Canis lupus familiaris: one gene and its partners. Each later gene encodes a partner of the first gene's protein in a complex. Links are inferred from orthologs where the notes say so. Each region holds a gene or a part of one and is shown in the gene's direction. Other genes may lie near its edges.

Region 1 (3,682 bases):
TTTTCTATTTAAGAAAATGCCTCATAACAAGAACCTCAGTGACTTTTTTTATTTGCAGGAATTTGAGCTGAGAAAACACGCTAGGCAAGAAGGGCGCAGGTACTGTGATCCTGTTGTGTTAACATACCAAGCTGAGCGGATGCCAGAGCAAATCAGGCTGAAAGTGAGAATCGGGGCTTTGTCTTTCTCTGACCATCTTTGTTTTCTTTCTATTCTTGTTGCTTAAGCTCTTCACTAAGACAGTGGGGTTGTATATTTCTGAGACAGATCCTACCTCAGTAGCATATCATTTGAAGGCTACCTGTGGAGAAGGCATGAAAGATAACTTAGATGGGGGTGCCTGGCTGGCTCAGTTGGTAGAGTGTGACTCTTGACTTTAGGGATGGAGTTCAAGCCTCATGTGAGGGATTACTTAAAGTTACTTACTTTAAAAGATTTCCTAAAGATAAAATCTTTCAAATACGTATATATTTAAAGAGGGTAATCTTAGAGGCAGCCCAGGTGGCTTAGCGGTTTAGTGCCGCCTTCAGCCCAGGGTGTGATCCTGGAGACCCCGGATTGAGTCCCATGTCAGGCTCCCTGCATGGAGCCTGCTTCTCCCCCTGCCTATGCCTCTGCCTCTCTCTGCCTCCCGCCCCCCCATAATTAAATAAAATCTTAAAAAAAAAAAAAAAAAGGATAACCTTAGATGTATGCACCTCCCAGTTGGTTGAAGTGTTACCATAAAGAGTTCATGTCCTTGTTTGGTTTTACAACTTGGTCTTTCCTTCTGGTACTTAAGTTTTTATTGCTAGTTACTTACTATGAAAAGATCATGTGAGAAATCTGATAATTTTACCAGCTCCACTGGAGAATTGGGACTTGTTTTGGTCCAATCTGAAGCATTTTCCAGTGGAAAAACTCAAATGAATTTATCAATGAAGGGGACTCTTGACAGGAATCAGGGAAATGGGAAACACTGAATTGCGTGCAAACCGTACTCAGTCATGCACACAACGTCAATATGTTGCAGTGACTCCTCAGTCCCCTCTCAGAACCCCCGTGATTATTCCTATGCAAACTTTCCACTTTCAAAAAACTTGGGTTCAGTTCTGTAAAGAGGATCCTGTCAAAATTGTTCTTCTTCTTTCCAGGTTGGTGGTGTGGACCCAAAGCAGCTGGCTGTTTATGAGGAGTTTGCACGCAATGTGCCTGGCTTCTTGCCCACAAATGATTTAAGTCAGCCCACGGGATTTTTAGCTCAACCCATGAAGGTAAGTCATTGCCTGGGATTAAATTGAGTGTTTTACATTTTACTTTGAATGTTTTTATCTGTTAACCTATCACTTGCTTCCTGTGAGCTTAAGTTAGGAGGAAAACTTAACCCCACAATTATTGAGTATATCTGTTCTTTGTATCAGCTCAGCACTGGCATATGGGGGACACCCCCCCCCCCATGAAATTGATTTTCATGTTTGGCCTAACTAGAGGAATTTACATGGGTGATCCACATGGCTTCGCCTGTTTTTATTTGTTTTGGTTTTGTTTGTTTTGTAAAGACATTTTGAAATAGTCATATACAGAAAACTTGAATATATAGGAAGAAACATTTTCCCCCTGAACCATTTGAATATACAATGCTGACCCTTAGGTCCCAGTCACTCTTGAATACTTTGGTCTGTATTATCTAAAAAGACATTCTCCTGCCAGTACTGCCATTGAAATCAGGAAGTTAACACCGATATATTGATACTTAATTAGTCCTCGTTCAGGTTTTATCAAGTGTCTCAGTATCACTTTTTTATAGTAAAAGGCCCTATTTCAGAATTGCACATTTCAGTTAGTTATATTTTTTAAATTCACCCCAGGTTGGTCTGTTAGAACACTTCTTCCTCCTCTTTTATGATCTCAAGACTTCTACAGACTATAGGCCAGTTATTTTCTAGAACGGCTTGATTTGGGTTTGTCCAATATATGTTCTCAGGAATAGATCTAGATAGTGCATTTTTGATAGGTTTATCACAGAAATGATTTTGTGTTATTCTATCAGGCTTTGATAGCTGGACTGAATACTATTTTCCATGATTTGGATTACCTAATTTCCTAGGCTGTATCCTATCCCATTATTTATCTTGCTTGCTTTAATTACTTGATTGTGTGATGGGTTTTCCTCAGTCAAATGAAATACACCCCCCCACCCCCACCCACCCCCACTGGCAATCCCTGCCTTGCACTTCACTGCCCCACCTAATGTTATTAAGATTGAATAGTTCAGGAAGGGGAAAGGAAGAGAACCCTTCTATGTTTCAATGAGAAAAAAATTCAGTGAGTAAACATACTAAATGACTTTTTAATTGCTGCACGAAAAATCTTTAAAATTTTCCTTTTTGGTTGTCTCCTTCTGTAAAACAGCAAGCTTGGGCAACAGATGATGTAGCTCAGATTTATGATAAGTGCATTACAGAATTGGAGCAGCACCTGCATGCCATCCCACCAACTTTGGCCATGAATCCTCAAGCCCAGGCTCTTAGAAGTCTTTTGGAGGTTGTAGTATTATCTCGAAACTCTCGGGATGCTATAGCTGCTCTTGGATTGCTCCAGAAGGTTAGTTATTAAATGTTACCTTTTTTTTTTTTTTTTTTTTTAAAGATTTTATTCATTCATGAGATACGGCGGGGGGGTGGCGGGGCGGTTTGCAGAAACACAGGCAGAGGGAGAACCAGGCTCCATGCAGAAGCCTGACATGGGACTTGATCCCGGGACTCCAGGATCACACCCTGGGCCGAAGGCAGGCGCCAAACTGCTGAGCCACCCAGGGATCCCCTTAAATGTTACTTTTAAGAAGAGACTAAAATATAGTGACTCACACCACCATCTCCTTAAGTTATCCTAAGATTTTAGAATTCAGATAAAACAAATTCTGTTTGGTAATAAGGCAAGTAATTTTCTCTAGAATGTAGTCATGACAGTCATCAATGGTGAAATGGGACAGAAATTTTTCATTAAGAGTTTTTGAAAATATAGTTAAGAAACTTTAAAAGATAGCACTTTAGATTTGGTGAAATAGATTGATCCAAGTACTTGGGTGATGTTGGGAGGGTTGGTGGGGAACATTGGATTTTCACCCTGTAGGGATGGTGGGGCATTTCCTGTGTAGAACACTGAATATAAACTAGATAAAATTTAAAGAGTTGTGTGTGTTAGGGTAAGTGAAAAGCATTTTGGTGAGTGCAGGCATTGTTAAATGGAGGCTTTAGAAGCTATGTTGTAGTTTTTGTTAAGGTTTGGTTTTTGACTTTGATGGTTGGGCCGCGAGTCCTGTATTTTCCATGTTTGTGACTACTGTTTTTCTTCCATAGGCTGTAGAGGGTTTATTAGATGCCACAAGTGGTGCTGATGCTGACCTATTGCTGCGCTACAGGGAGTGCCACCTTTTGGTGTTAAAAGCTCTTCAAGATGGCCGGGCATATGGGTCTCCGTGGTGTAACAAACAGATCACAAGGTTAGTAGCCATCTTAGAAGAGTACTATTTATTGGAGTGCTTTCTAACATACATGCCCTGTTTGTGTCCAGAGATTTCCTTTTTCTAGAAGGTAAATGGGACATTTGTCCAATTCTAAGTACTGAGAATAGTTGATTGGTTGGCCTTTTCCCATTTGGTACACATGATGAGTATGGAAAACCAGTACCTTGCATTGGGGGA
Region 2 (3,018 bases), on another chromosome or scaffold:
TGATCCGCCCGCCAGTCCCCCGGAACCCTTAAGAAGTCTTCCCAAGGGATCCCCGGGGGGCTCAGCGGTTTGGCGCCTGCCTTTGGCCCAGGGTGTGATCCTGGAGTCCTGGGATCGAGTCCCGCGTCCCTGCATGGAGCCTGCTTCTCCCTCTGCCTGTGTCTCTGCCTCTCTCTGTGTCTCTCTCATGAATAAATAAATAAAATCTTTAAAAAAGGAAAAAACAACTCTTCCCAGTCCCCAAAACCTTTCCTACGCTCCATCTTGTAAAAAGCGTTGTCTCTTGCGAGAAGGGCATGACCACCTCACATCCTCCTAAAAAACAAAACAAAACAAAAAACTTCCAGTTTATCTTCCATTGTTTTCACAAAAATATTGGACTCATTTTAAAGTATCTAACTGTGACGCTGAGCATGCTTTTCTTTTTCAAGCTGCACGTACAGCCTCCCCGACCCCGGGGGTGTGGAGCTCCGCGCACACACACCAATCACGGCCCGAGGGTGGGAGATTTTCTGGCCCGACCCCCTCCCTGCCTAAGTCAGGGGCTCACGGCCACCCCGGCTCTCGGCACACCTGTTGGGAGTCGGCTGCGCGCCTTGGGGAAGTCCTGATGCCTCCACCGCTTCCTAAGGCAAGAACCATAACCTCTCTGAACCTCCGAGGCCGGCGCGAAGCCTTCCCGGGCTGACAGCTCTCCAGGGCGCTGCGCAAGGGGAAGTGAGTGCCTCGAGCGTCGGGCAGCTCCGTCTCCACCACCGCATCCCCAGCGCGCGCCAAATCCTGCCTCTCCGGAGCTTCTCCTGCTGATGCTGGGGCGCGGCGGGGGGGGGGGGGCTCCTCCGAAGGCTGACCTGGGGCATTCAAGGCGGGAGGTGGGTGCGCGCACCTTGGGGCATCCCCCCATCCCCGTGCCTGCCCGTGTGCTCCGCGACTCTCACCCCCGGGCGGAGGGAGACCCAGGCCTGGCCACCGGCTCCAAACCAAAGCACGGCGCTCGGGCGAAGATGGGCCGCGGCGGCCGGCCCTCCCCTCCCCTCCCCTCCCCTCCCCTCCTGTTCCCCGCTCTCCTTTCCCTTCCCTTCCCTTCCCCTCGCAGCCCCGCAGGCAGGACACGCCCCCTCCCGCAGATGGACCAATCGGCGTCCCGAGCGGCGCCCGCGGCGCAGGGGGCTCTGGTCCGCAGCCAATGAGCGCCCGGGCCCGAGGCGGCGCTAAGCCCGCCCCCTCGCGGAGTGAGAGTCGCCGCAGCTGGCGAGGCTGGCGCAGCGCAAGGGGCGCGGGAGCCGCGCGGGCCGGACCGGGGCGCGCGCACCGCCCGCCCGCCCGCCCGCCCGCCCGCCGCTGGCGCGCCCGCCTCCGCTCCGCCTCCGTCCGAGGCGCGGGCGGGGAGGCCGGGGCGGGGTAGCGCGGGGGCAGGGCCGCGGCGGCGAGGCCGGGGGAGGAGCGGGGCCCGATAAAAGGCGGCGAGGCGGCCCCACCCCGCGGCAGGCCGGCGGGCAGGCTCGGCGCTTCCCTTCCGTGCGGCCCGCGCCGGCCGCGGGGAGGCGGCGCGCGCGGCCCGCGGCCCGCAGCCCGCCCATGGAGGCTTTCCCCTGGGCGCCCCGCTCGCCCAGCCGCGGCCGCGCCCCCCCGCCCATGGCGCTCGTGCCCAGCGCCCGCTACGTGAGCGCCCAGGGCCCGGCGCACCCGCAGCCCTTCAGCTCGTGGAACGACTACCTGGGGCTCGCCACGCTCATCACCAAGGCGGTGGACGGCGAGCCACGCTTCGGCGGCGAGGGCGGCGGCGGCGGCGGCGGCGGCGGCGGCGCCTCCGCCTCCCCGCCCTCGTCGTCCTCCTCGTCCTGCTGCTCCCCGCACGCGGGGGCGGGGGCCGGGCCCGGGGCGCTGGGGCCGGCGCTGGGGCCGCCCGACGACGACGACGACAGCGACGGCGACGAGCCGGGGTCCCGGGGCCGCTACCTGGGCGGCGCGCTGGAGCTGCGCGCGCTGGAGCTGTGCGCGGGCCCCGCCGAGGCCGGGCTGCTGGAGGAGCGCTTCGCCGAGCTGAGCCCGTTCGCGGGTCGCGCGGCCGCCGTGCTCCTGGGCTGCGCGCCCGCCGCCGCCGCCGCCGCCGCCGCCGCATCCGCCGAGGTGGCGCCGCGCGAGGAGCGGGCCCCGGCCTGGGCGGCCGAGCCGCGGCTGCACGTCGCCTCCGGGGCGGCCGCCGCCCGACTGCTCAAGCCCGAGCTGCAGGTGTGCGTGTTCTGCCGGAACAACAAGGAGGCGGTGGCGCTCTACACCACGCACATCCTCAAGGGCCCCGACGGGCGGGTGCTGTGCCCGGTGCTGCGCCGCTACACGTGCCCCCTGTGCGGCGCCAGCGGCGACAACGCGCACACCATCAAGTACTGCCCGCTCTCCAAGCCGCCGCCGCCGCCGCCGCCGCCGCCGCGCCCCGCCAGGGACTGCCCGCCCGGGAAGAAGCTGCGCTGAGCGCGCGGGCTCCGGGCCGCCCTCGCCCTCGCCCTCGCCCTCGCCGGGGACAGCCGCGCAGCTCGCCGCCGGGCCGCCCGGGGGCGTGCGGGCGCCTTCCAAAGCCGGCGGCCGCGCGCGACACTTGGGAGCCGGGGAGCCCGGACGCTGCGATCCCCGTTTGTCGCTCTCTACTTTCTAGTTTGTGCACATCCGGACGGAGGAGGCGGGGTGTGGATCCCGCTACCTGAGAGGGCAGCTTGATGGCGCCGCTTATTTACTGTAGACGTCCGATCTGTTTGAGATGCGCATCAGGATGCATGGTCTCGATCTGCTCCCTGGATGGTTAGTTTTAACGAGGCACTTTACTAGGTCTAGAATATTTTTTTAAAAGCCTCATAACTGAACTGGAACCTGGCGATTTTATGGAACTGTCGGCAAAATGACTATTTTATTGTTTGGAAACCGTATTTCTTAGTTGTCCTTAATCGGTTACTCGGATTCCAGGTGAAGCAAGCAAGCCCCCCACCCCCACCCCCCGGGGCAGCATCACCGCTTTTGAGAAGT
Region 3 (3,682 bases), on another chromosome or scaffold:
TGGTCACTGTCCTGGATTATTTTGGAGGGTAGGAGCTGATAGAAGCGCTGGAATTTGTCTATCGTAATTGTCTTTTCTTGTAGTTTTCAAAGCCTAAATCAGCACAGTAATTGTTGGACTAGAGAAGTAAAGAGGTGGTCTTGTGCTTGCCTCAGACTTGTAAATCACCTAGTAGAATGAAATGAATTAAAAAAGTATAAATAATTACTACAAGTGGATTATCTTGTTTTTGATGTATTCTTGGTTATACAGCAGTTTTTAATCTATTTGAATCTTGGATTACATACTAAAAAGTATATGAAAATTACTCCTGAGACATATAGGAGTTTCTAGTTTACCAGTCATTCTGACCTCTTCTTTCTCTTGTAGTTACCTTATAGTATTTTTTAAAACTTTATGGGACTAGGAAAGGTAATTTGCTGGGTAAAAGTTAGTACAATAATGAGCATAAATGTAATGCTAGTTTGCAAGTACATTTGAATTGCTGAATGAAGTGACTAAAACTTAAGTTGCACTAGAAATACATGTTAAGGGATCCCTGGGTGGCGCAGCGGTTTGGCGCCTGCCTTTGGCCCGGGGTGCGATCCTGGAGACCTGGGATCGAATCCCACGTCGGGCTCCTTGCATGGAGCCTGCTTCTCCCTCTGCCTGTGTCTCTGCCTCTCTGTCTCTCTGTGTGTGACTATCATGAATAAATAAATAAAATCTTTAAAAAAAAAAAAAAGAAATGCATGTTAAGGTGTGTACAAAGACATGCCTAAATTGAAAGATGTGATGGAGATTCTTTCTTTTTCTTTTAAGATTTGTTTACCCGAGGTATTGATATACAAGCTGTGAATGTGGTAATAAACTTTGACTTCCCAAAGCTGGCAGAGACCTATCTCCATCGTATTGGAAGATCAGGTAAGGAAAAGGAAGATGTTCTTCACAGGAGTGTTTTGAGAAGTATAATCACTAAATTCTGTTCTTTTGTGAAGTAGAGTGTAGTAACAATGAGAACAGTGAATTAAAATTTACTTAGTTTTTTTATTTCTAATTTTTCTAGAGCATTTAAGAAAAGTTAAAATATTTTGACTGTATGCTTAAATTGATACAAAATTCACAAATGAGATCCTCACTTTTCTTATTAGGTAGTGCAGTCTATAACTACTATTTAGTATCTGTATTTTGGCAACTTTTGACACAAATGAGCCTCTTTTATCATTTGAAAAAGGCCTATAAATAGGGTACTGCTTTGGGCTGTGAAATCTGAAGGCATACACTGAGAATGGGACTGAACAAAACTGTTAATAATCTGGTATGCTTTTGCCACTGAGAGATTTGCACATACATATCGATTCTAATATTTAACTCCTTTTTAAAAAATCGATTAATGTTTTTTCATTAGGTCGCTTTGGTCATCTTGGCTTAGCCATCAACTTGATCACATATGATGATCGCTTCAACCTGAAAAGTATTGAGGAGCAGCTGGGAACAGAAATTAAACCGATCCCAAGCAACATTGACAAGAGCCTGTATGTGGCAGAATACCACAGCGAGCCCGTGGAGGATGAGAAGCCCTAACAAGCATGTGCGTACCCTGCATAGCGCTAGGGAGCATAGTGGTGAAAGAAAGGAAAGAAAGCAAGATCCTCCTTCCTGGAGGAAATTTGCTGTTACACCACACGTACTAGCAGAGACAGCGTAGAACCTGTTGGCATGAATGATGGTAAACCGGGTGTGCTTGGGGGAAGTTGTTGTCTCCTGAGAGAATCCATGGATACTGTTCTTGAATGCAGTTTTCCTGTATGATGTGATCCACGAGCAGTACTTAAGACAAATCCAGACTTCAAAATAAAGCAAAGTAGAATCTTTTTCTCAGCAACTTGAAGATGAAACTAATTTTTTTTGGTCTTTTATCACTTAGTCATTCTTCTTTTGTTAGTATCACTCTTAATTTCTACTGGACGTTGTAGTAAATCAAGATAATTACCTGAAGTACCTCGTTGCCAAATGTGTAATCAGGTTGTGAGGATAATTGTCTTTTTTTAAATACTCACTCTGGTTTCCTGTACCACCCTCTCTTTTCATTGGTGGACTATTGGGCTTTGCTAGCAGTGCTCAAAAGAAGACCCAGCATCAAGGAATTCAGGCTGTTTTGCAGTTTTTTCCAAGGGAAGTCTTTTATTTGAGAGGTGGTAATTTTTACATTACCAATGAGTATTTTTACCTGTTTTTTTTTTGTGGTTTTTTTTTTTTTTTTTTTAAGATTTATTTGAGACAGCACAAGCAGGGTGGGGGAGGGACAAGCAGACTCCCTGCAGAGCAGCATCCGCCACTCCCCCACCCTCGCCCCCCACCACCTCCCACCCCTGTGACCTGAGCCAACCAATGTGATGCTTAATCATCGTGGCGCCCCATATGCCTGTTACTCTAAGTTTCTGAATTACTCTTCACTTTAGTTTTCTTTCTTTCTTTCTTCTTCCCCCCGCCCCCTTAAATGTCAAACAAAATCCTCAGGCTAATGTAAAAGTAGCCTATGTTTGCTGGTATCCTGGGAAGCTATCAAATTTGTGGATGTTTAAAAAAAAAAATAGTTTCTTTCTTTCTTTTTTTTTTTAAAGATTTTATTTATTAATCATGAGAGACAGAGAGAGAGAGGCAGAGACACAGGCAGAGAGAGAAGCAGGCTCCGTGCAGGGAGCCCAACTGGGACTGGGACCTCGGATGAAGGCAGTGCTAAACTGCTGAGCCACCCGGGCTGCCCAGTTTCTCTTGATTTAACTGTTTTGGATATCAGAATTTAGAGGCTCTTGCTCTATCTCTGGGATTCCTAGCAGAAATGCCTTAATCCTAAGTGGATTGATTCTACAGCAGGCAAAGGCTCAGTAGAAGCCACTCCACAGAGCATTTGAGATGGAGATTGTGAAAACCTAGGTATCTTGGTTCATATTGTCTTCACAAAAGTTAATTTTAGATTTCTTCCTTCTTCCTTTAGGCTTTCACAAAATACAGAAGGCTCGTTTGGATCTGTGACACATCGTTTGGGGGGGATGCTCTTCTCTTTGTGGGTTTTTCATCTTCTTTTATTTTGGAACTATGAAGACTTAAAAGAGCTCAGACATTTTTTTCTTTTTTTTAACTGGTGAAGAGAAAAAGCTGAAAAGAAGGAATTTACCTTTTTTGTTCCACTTGTTTGCACTGTGTGCTGACTGAACATTAGTTGCACTAACTGCTGGTTTTTAAAAAATGTTTTCTGGGGAAGGGGGACAAGGAAGGAGGAGAAAGAAGAGAAGGGGAGAAACCCTGAAAAGAGAAGAATCTTGATGAACACACAAGCTTGTCTACAATTTCAAAATTCTCCAACAGCTGACTCTTGAGTGCATTTCAACTTCTCCCTAATTACTCATCCGTTTTTTAAGCCTGAAGAGCTTATTACTTATTTGTGCGAAGTGCCTTATGCTATGAGACCATTCAGAATATCATCTTTTAGACACAGCCCAAGAAATCAACAATAGTAGTTCTTTCCTTTTTTTATTTTTTTTTCCTTCCTATCTTTTTAAAATTTTTGTCTTTTTATTTTGATTTCAAGTTGGAGTCTCTCTCTTCCCTTTTTACCTGATACTCAAGCCCAGGGCTGGAAGATGACACGTATTAGTAATGTTAAACACCATTCTCTTTTTCTTTATGTGGAGGAGTTGAT
Region 4 (4,304 bases), on another chromosome or scaffold:
TCCCCCTTTCCCCCTTTTCCCCCGTTGTCCCCGAGGCTGTGTTTACAGGCGACACAAACCCTGGTTACAAGAGAGGAACCCGGGCGTCCGGGCCGAGCCTCCTCGTCACCGCTTCCAGGAAGCCCCCCTCCCCCGCCCCTTGCGAATGAGTCACGGGCGAGCGGGAGGCTGCAACCGTGCCAAAGGCACCCGCAGCCGCCCAGCTCACGGGACCGGCCGGGAAGGCCCCTCGGCCCCAGAACGCGCCGCACAGGGATTCCCCCGAGCTCCGTCCGACCGGGCAGGTCGGTGCGCCGGGCAGTGTCTCCGCCTCGGTCCCAGCGCGCGGCCGCAGCCCGCAGAAGGCAACTTTCCGCCCGGGTAGAGCCGCACCCCGTGGCAACGACTTCAGCCCCCATGTTTTTGCACTCCGGGCACCCAGCCCACCGAGAGCCCCTTTAAAAGTGAACTTTCTCCCCAGGCCTTTGTAACAGAGTGTCACGCAGGGCACCCCCTCGACCACAGCGGCCTTGCCAGTGTGGGGAGTCACCCCCGCAGACTGGCAGTTCTCTCAAGGCAAACCCCTCCAAAAGACGCCCGTGCGACCACCAGTTGGTGGGGGGGGGGGGGACCCGTTCCTTCCACCTCCAAAAGACTTTCCATCGGAGGCAAACCCTCGTCCACAATAAAAGACACACACACACACACACACACACACACACACACACACACACACCGCCCTTTCCAATCTTGAGTTTTCTCAGAGGGCGAACTTTTACTAACAGGTTCGACAACAGTAACTCGGCCTGGGTCTCCTCGTGTGTAAAATGGGCACAATGCGTCCTTGAGTGGATGGCCGTAAAGTACTTTCACGCAGCAGAGCTGGGGGGCGGGTACCGATCAGAGGGGCCATCTGCTGCGTGAGCTCGAGGGGCCCCCTTCCTGCCTCGCCAGGGATCCGGGGTCCCCCGCCCCCGCGAGTCTCGAGGGCCAGGGGGCTGGTGACCAAGGCCTCCCGACCTGGGCTGTTTGAGCGAAATCCCCCACCTGGCCTGGGTCGCCCTTCCGTGTTGCTCCTACGGGATTTCTGGCCTGTCGGTGTTTGCTTCCCCCGGTTCATCTCCCCGCTTTTTCAGTTTACGCGACCCTCCCTCTCGCTTCCCCCTCTTTTGAGTTTGTCCCTCTGGGACTGTCTCTAACTTGTCTTTTCCGTCTCCCAACTTCCCCGCCTCTCCCTGCCTCCGGGGCGCGCGCGGCTCTCCCGCCACGGCCGCGTCCCTGCGCGGTTCTCTCCCCGGCTGCGTTCCCGGCTCTCTCCTCTCCCCGCCCCCGGCCGTCGTCCCGCGCACGCCCTCTTGGCCTCGGCCCGTGTCGATTCCCCGGGGAGCCCTGCCCCCACCACGGCCCAGTTCGCTTCTCCGCGCCTCGCTCTCTCCAGCCTTGGAAACTGGGCCGACACCCCGCTGTCCCCCCTGCCCCCTGCCCCCCCTCCCCCCGGCCCGGGGCACTCCCCGCTTGCGACCGCCCGCGGGGCCGGGCTCCGGTGCGTCCTGGCCGGGGGCCGGGCGGGCCTTGCTGGGGGCGCGCGTCCGGGAAGCGCCCCTTCTGGCCCCACCCACCCGGCCCGCCCCCCCTCGCCCGCCTCTATAAAAGCCCGGGCTCGGCCGGCCGACCGCAGCCTGACTTCAGCGCTCGCCCTCCCGGCCGACTCCTCACCCCTCGGCCGCTCGCGCCGCCATGGATCGCGCCACCATGGACCTCTCCGCCATCTACAAGGTGAGCCCCGCCGGCGACCCCCGGGCCCGCCCCCCCCGCTAGGGCGACGAGCGCCAGTGCCCACAGCTCCGGCCCGGCCCGGGGCCCTGCCGCCCTTCCCACACCCGCGCGGTTCTCAGGAGGTGAAAACAGAGCCCGCGACTTTCGTGGGGCGGCCCTCGGGGGTCGGGAGGCCGGGGGACTCGTCGGAGTCCAGGGCTGTCTGGAGGCGGAAATGGCCCCACACCTGGCCTAACCCCCAGTGGTTGCTGAGGGCGCGGTTTGGCGCGGAGGCGGCGCTGGGCGCGGAGTCTCGGGGTGAGGGGGGGCCGACTCCTGACCCTCCGGCCCTCGGGCCAGCAGGAGCTCTGGGGACTCTCAAGTCCGACGGCTTCCCGACTCCGCGGCTAACTTTGCCTGCTTCCCCAGTTGTGAAACTGGAGAACCCGATGCGAGGGGTCAGCTCCCCGGGGGCCCAGAGGCTCGAAATTGGGAGGACAGTGGTGTTGTCGGACTCTGGGGTCTTGTTTTGATCCGGCCTGGAGAGCCGGGGACTCTGGTTCCCTCGGGAGACACTTCTGTCGCGGGGAGGAAAAAATTCTGAACTTCCAAATCGGGATCCCTGCCATCCGGCACCCATATTTTAATGTGGGCAGGTGGGGCTCAGGCTGGGAGCCCACGAACCGGACTGGCAAGCTCTTAGGTGCCCTGCAGCTGGGGTGGGGCGTCACCCAGCATTTTCGGTTTCTTAACCGATCCTTGTTCCCACAGAGCCTCCTGTCGCTGAGCCCTGACATGCCATCTGACCACGGAGACACGGAGTCCATCCCAGGCTGGCCCCCCTCCGGGCTCTGGAGCCCCAGCTCACCCGAGAGGAGCCGGGTTGGGATCAGTGGCCGCCTGCCTGGCCGCTCCACCAGCCTGGTGGAGAGTCCAAGCTGTGGCTGGGTGCCACCACCCCCGGGTTTCGCACCCCTGGCTCCCCGCCCAGGCCCTGAACTGTCGCCTTCACCCACCTCACCTACTGCGACTCCCACCACCTCATCTCGGTACAAGACCGAGCTGTGTCGGACCTTCTCCGAGAGTGGGCGCTGCCGCTACGGGGCTAAGTGCCAGTTTGCCCACGGGCTGGGCGAGCTGCGCCAGGCCAGCCGCCACCCCAAGTACAAGACCGAACTCTGCCACAAGTTCTACCTCCAGGGCGGCTGCCCCTACGGCTCACGCTGCCACTTCATCCACAACCCCAGCGAAGATCTGGCTGCCCCGGGCCACCCTCATGTGCTGCGCCAGAGCATCAGCTTCTCGGGCCTGCCCTCCGGCCGCCGACCGTCACCACCACCAGCAGGCCTGGCAGGCCCTTCCCTGTCCTCCTGCTCCTTCTCTCCCTCCAGCTCCCCACCACCGCCACCTGGGGACCTTCCACTTTCACCCTCTGCCTTCTCTGCTGCCCCTGGGACCCCGGTGGCCCGAAGGGACCCCACCACAGTCTGTTGCCCCTCCTGCCGAAGGGCTACCCCCAGTAGCGTCTGGGGGCCCTTGGGTGGCCTGGCTCGGAGCCCCTCTGCACAGTCCCTGGGATCTGATCCTGAAGAATATGCCAGCAGCGGCAGCAGCCTAGGGGGATCCGACTCGCCTGTCTTCGAGGCTGGGATTTTTGGGACACCCCAGCCACCTGCAGCCCCCCGGCGACTCCCCATCTTCAACCGCATCTCTGTTTCTGAGTGACAAGTGCCTGCCCAGTACAGATCAGCTGGATTCAAGGGGGCCATTTCTCTTTTGCTGTGGGTTCCACAGGGGCCCCGGGGCTGTGGGGAACTCGGGGGACTCAATCAAGTAGCCTCCCCCTACCTTCCAAAGTGCATTAACCCACTCCCCTGACCCCACGCTGGGGCAGGTCCCCAGTGTGCAAGATCTGTGTTCATGGTGTTGGGGTGGGGAGTTTTCTGGGTCTTGTAAAAAAAAAAAAAAAGTATGTAGCAGATTTGAGGAAGGCAGTGAGCCCTCTACCCACCCCTCCCTTTCCCAATGCTGTGAATAATAGGCTCCCACTGCCCCCTCCCAATTTCTCCTAGACCCTGAGGTTCCAGAGTCTGGTGGTGACTGGAGCCTCCCCCGAGGGGGAATCCTGGTGCTCGAATTTCCCTCCAAAAGCAAGTAGCCAAAGCCATTGCCAAACACCCCCACCCCCAATTCCCCCCCCCAGCCATTGGGCTCTTTATTTATGACGACTTTATTTATTCTAATGGATTTTATAGTATTTATATATATTGGGTCGTCTGCTTCCCTTGTATTTTTCTTCCTCCTTTTTGTAATATTGGAAACGATGGAATAATTATTGTTATAAGTATGCTATAATAATATATTAAGTAATATATTGTTAAAAGTTTATTTTTGTGGTTTTTGGAATTTTTAAATAAAAGGAATCTGTGTGTAAACTGCAATCCCGGAGTCCTCTGCGGTCCAGAAGCGGTCGAGAGGGGCGGGGAGTGTTTAGAAGCGGGAGAGGGTAGGGTCCGCCGGCCGCCCCTCCGCCCCCCTCCTCCCCGCAGGCCGGGCCGCCCGCGGCGCTT

The links.
Region 2: the proteins of CNOT1 (region 1) and NANOS1 are in contact, whole or in part, in a crystal structure (PDB 4CQO), measured with the Homo sapiens proteins. The link is inferred for Canis lupus familiaris from reciprocal best matches to the Homo sapiens genes CNOT1 and NANOS1. Residues at the interface, in NP_057368.3 of Homo sapiens: Ile2327, Ile2330, Lys2331, Trp2338, Glu2350, Phe2353, Gln2354, Val2356, Ala2357, Met2361; in NP_955631.1 of Homo sapiens: Phe40, Ser41, Ser42, Trp43, Tyr46, Leu47, Leu49, Thr51.
Region 3: the proteins of CNOT1 (region 1) and DDX6 are in contact, whole or in part, in a crystal structure (PDB 4CRW), measured with the Homo sapiens proteins. The link is inferred for Canis lupus familiaris from reciprocal best matches to the Homo sapiens genes CNOT1 and DDX6. Residues at the interface, in NP_057368.3 of Homo sapiens: Glu1097, Ala1100, Phe1101, Phe1103, Asn1104, Asn1105, Leu1106, Ser1107, Ser1109, Asn1110, Lys1114, Lys1137, Arg1138, Ile1141, Glu1142, Asn1144, Phe1145, Leu1148, Tyr1149; in NP_001244120.1 of Homo sapiens: Phe329, Ser330, Arg331, Leu332, Gln333, Ile334, Asn335, Gln336, Leu357, Gly358, Tyr359, Ser360, Leu384, Arg386, Asn387, Ala402.
Region 4: the proteins of CNOT1 (region 1) and ZFP36 are in contact, whole or in part, in a crystal structure (PDB 4J8S), measured with the Homo sapiens proteins. The link is inferred for Canis lupus familiaris from reciprocal best matches to the Homo sapiens genes CNOT1 and ZFP36. Residues at the interface, in NP_057368.3 of Homo sapiens: Gln821, Glu835, Asp845, Ala848, Asn849, Phe852, Gln853, Tyr856, Asn894, Glu897, Glu898, Phe901, Gln904, Tyr905, Pro906, Glu909; in NP_003398.3 of Homo sapiens: Arg314, Arg315, Leu316, Pro317, Ile318, Phe319, Arg321, Ile322, Ser323, Val324, Ser325.

Annotation. Positions count from the first base shown.
Region 1 is NC_049223.1:57,388,197-57,391,878, forward strand, and holds part of CNOT1 (CCR4-NOT transcription complex subunit 1), read left to right. Parts: intron 1-58; coding exon 59-163; intron 164-1,133; coding exon 1,134-1,253; intron 1,254-2,391; coding exon 2,392-2,583; intron 2,584-3,338; coding exon 3,339-3,481; intron 3,482-3,682.
Region 2 is NC_049249.1:29,582,852-29,585,869, forward strand, and holds NANOS1 (nanos homolog 1), read left to right. Parts: upstream 1-1,578; coding exon 1,579-2,472; downstream 2,473-3,018. Other genes in the region: basic proline-rich protein-like, read right to left, coding at 253-315, 574-1,029, 1,230-1,580. UniProt on the Homo sapiens protein: May act as a translational repressor which regulates translation of specific mRNAs by forming a complex with PUM2 that associates with the 3'-UTR of mRNA targets. Capable of interfering with the proadhesive and anti-invasive functions of E-cadherin.
Region 3 is NC_049226.1:15,055,167-15,058,848, forward strand, and holds part of DDX6 (probable ATP-dependent RNA helicase DDX6), read left to right. Parts: intron 1-801; coding exon 802-903; intron 904-1,387; coding exon 1,388-1,563; 3' UTR 1,564-1,570; intron 1,571-2,977; 3' UTR 2,978-3,682.
Region 4 is NC_049222.1:114,602,905-114,607,208, reverse strand, and holds ZFP36 (mRNA decay activator protein ZFP36), read left to right. Parts: upstream 1-1,618; 5' UTR 1,619-1,716; coding exon 1,717-1,755; intron 1,756-2,505; coding exon 2,506-3,459; 3' UTR 3,460-3,756; downstream 3,757-4,304. UniProt on the Homo sapiens protein: Zinc-finger RNA-binding protein that destabilizes several cytoplasmic AU-rich element (ARE)-containing mRNA transcripts by promoting their poly(A) tail removal or deadenylation, and hence provide a mechanism for attenuating protein synthesis.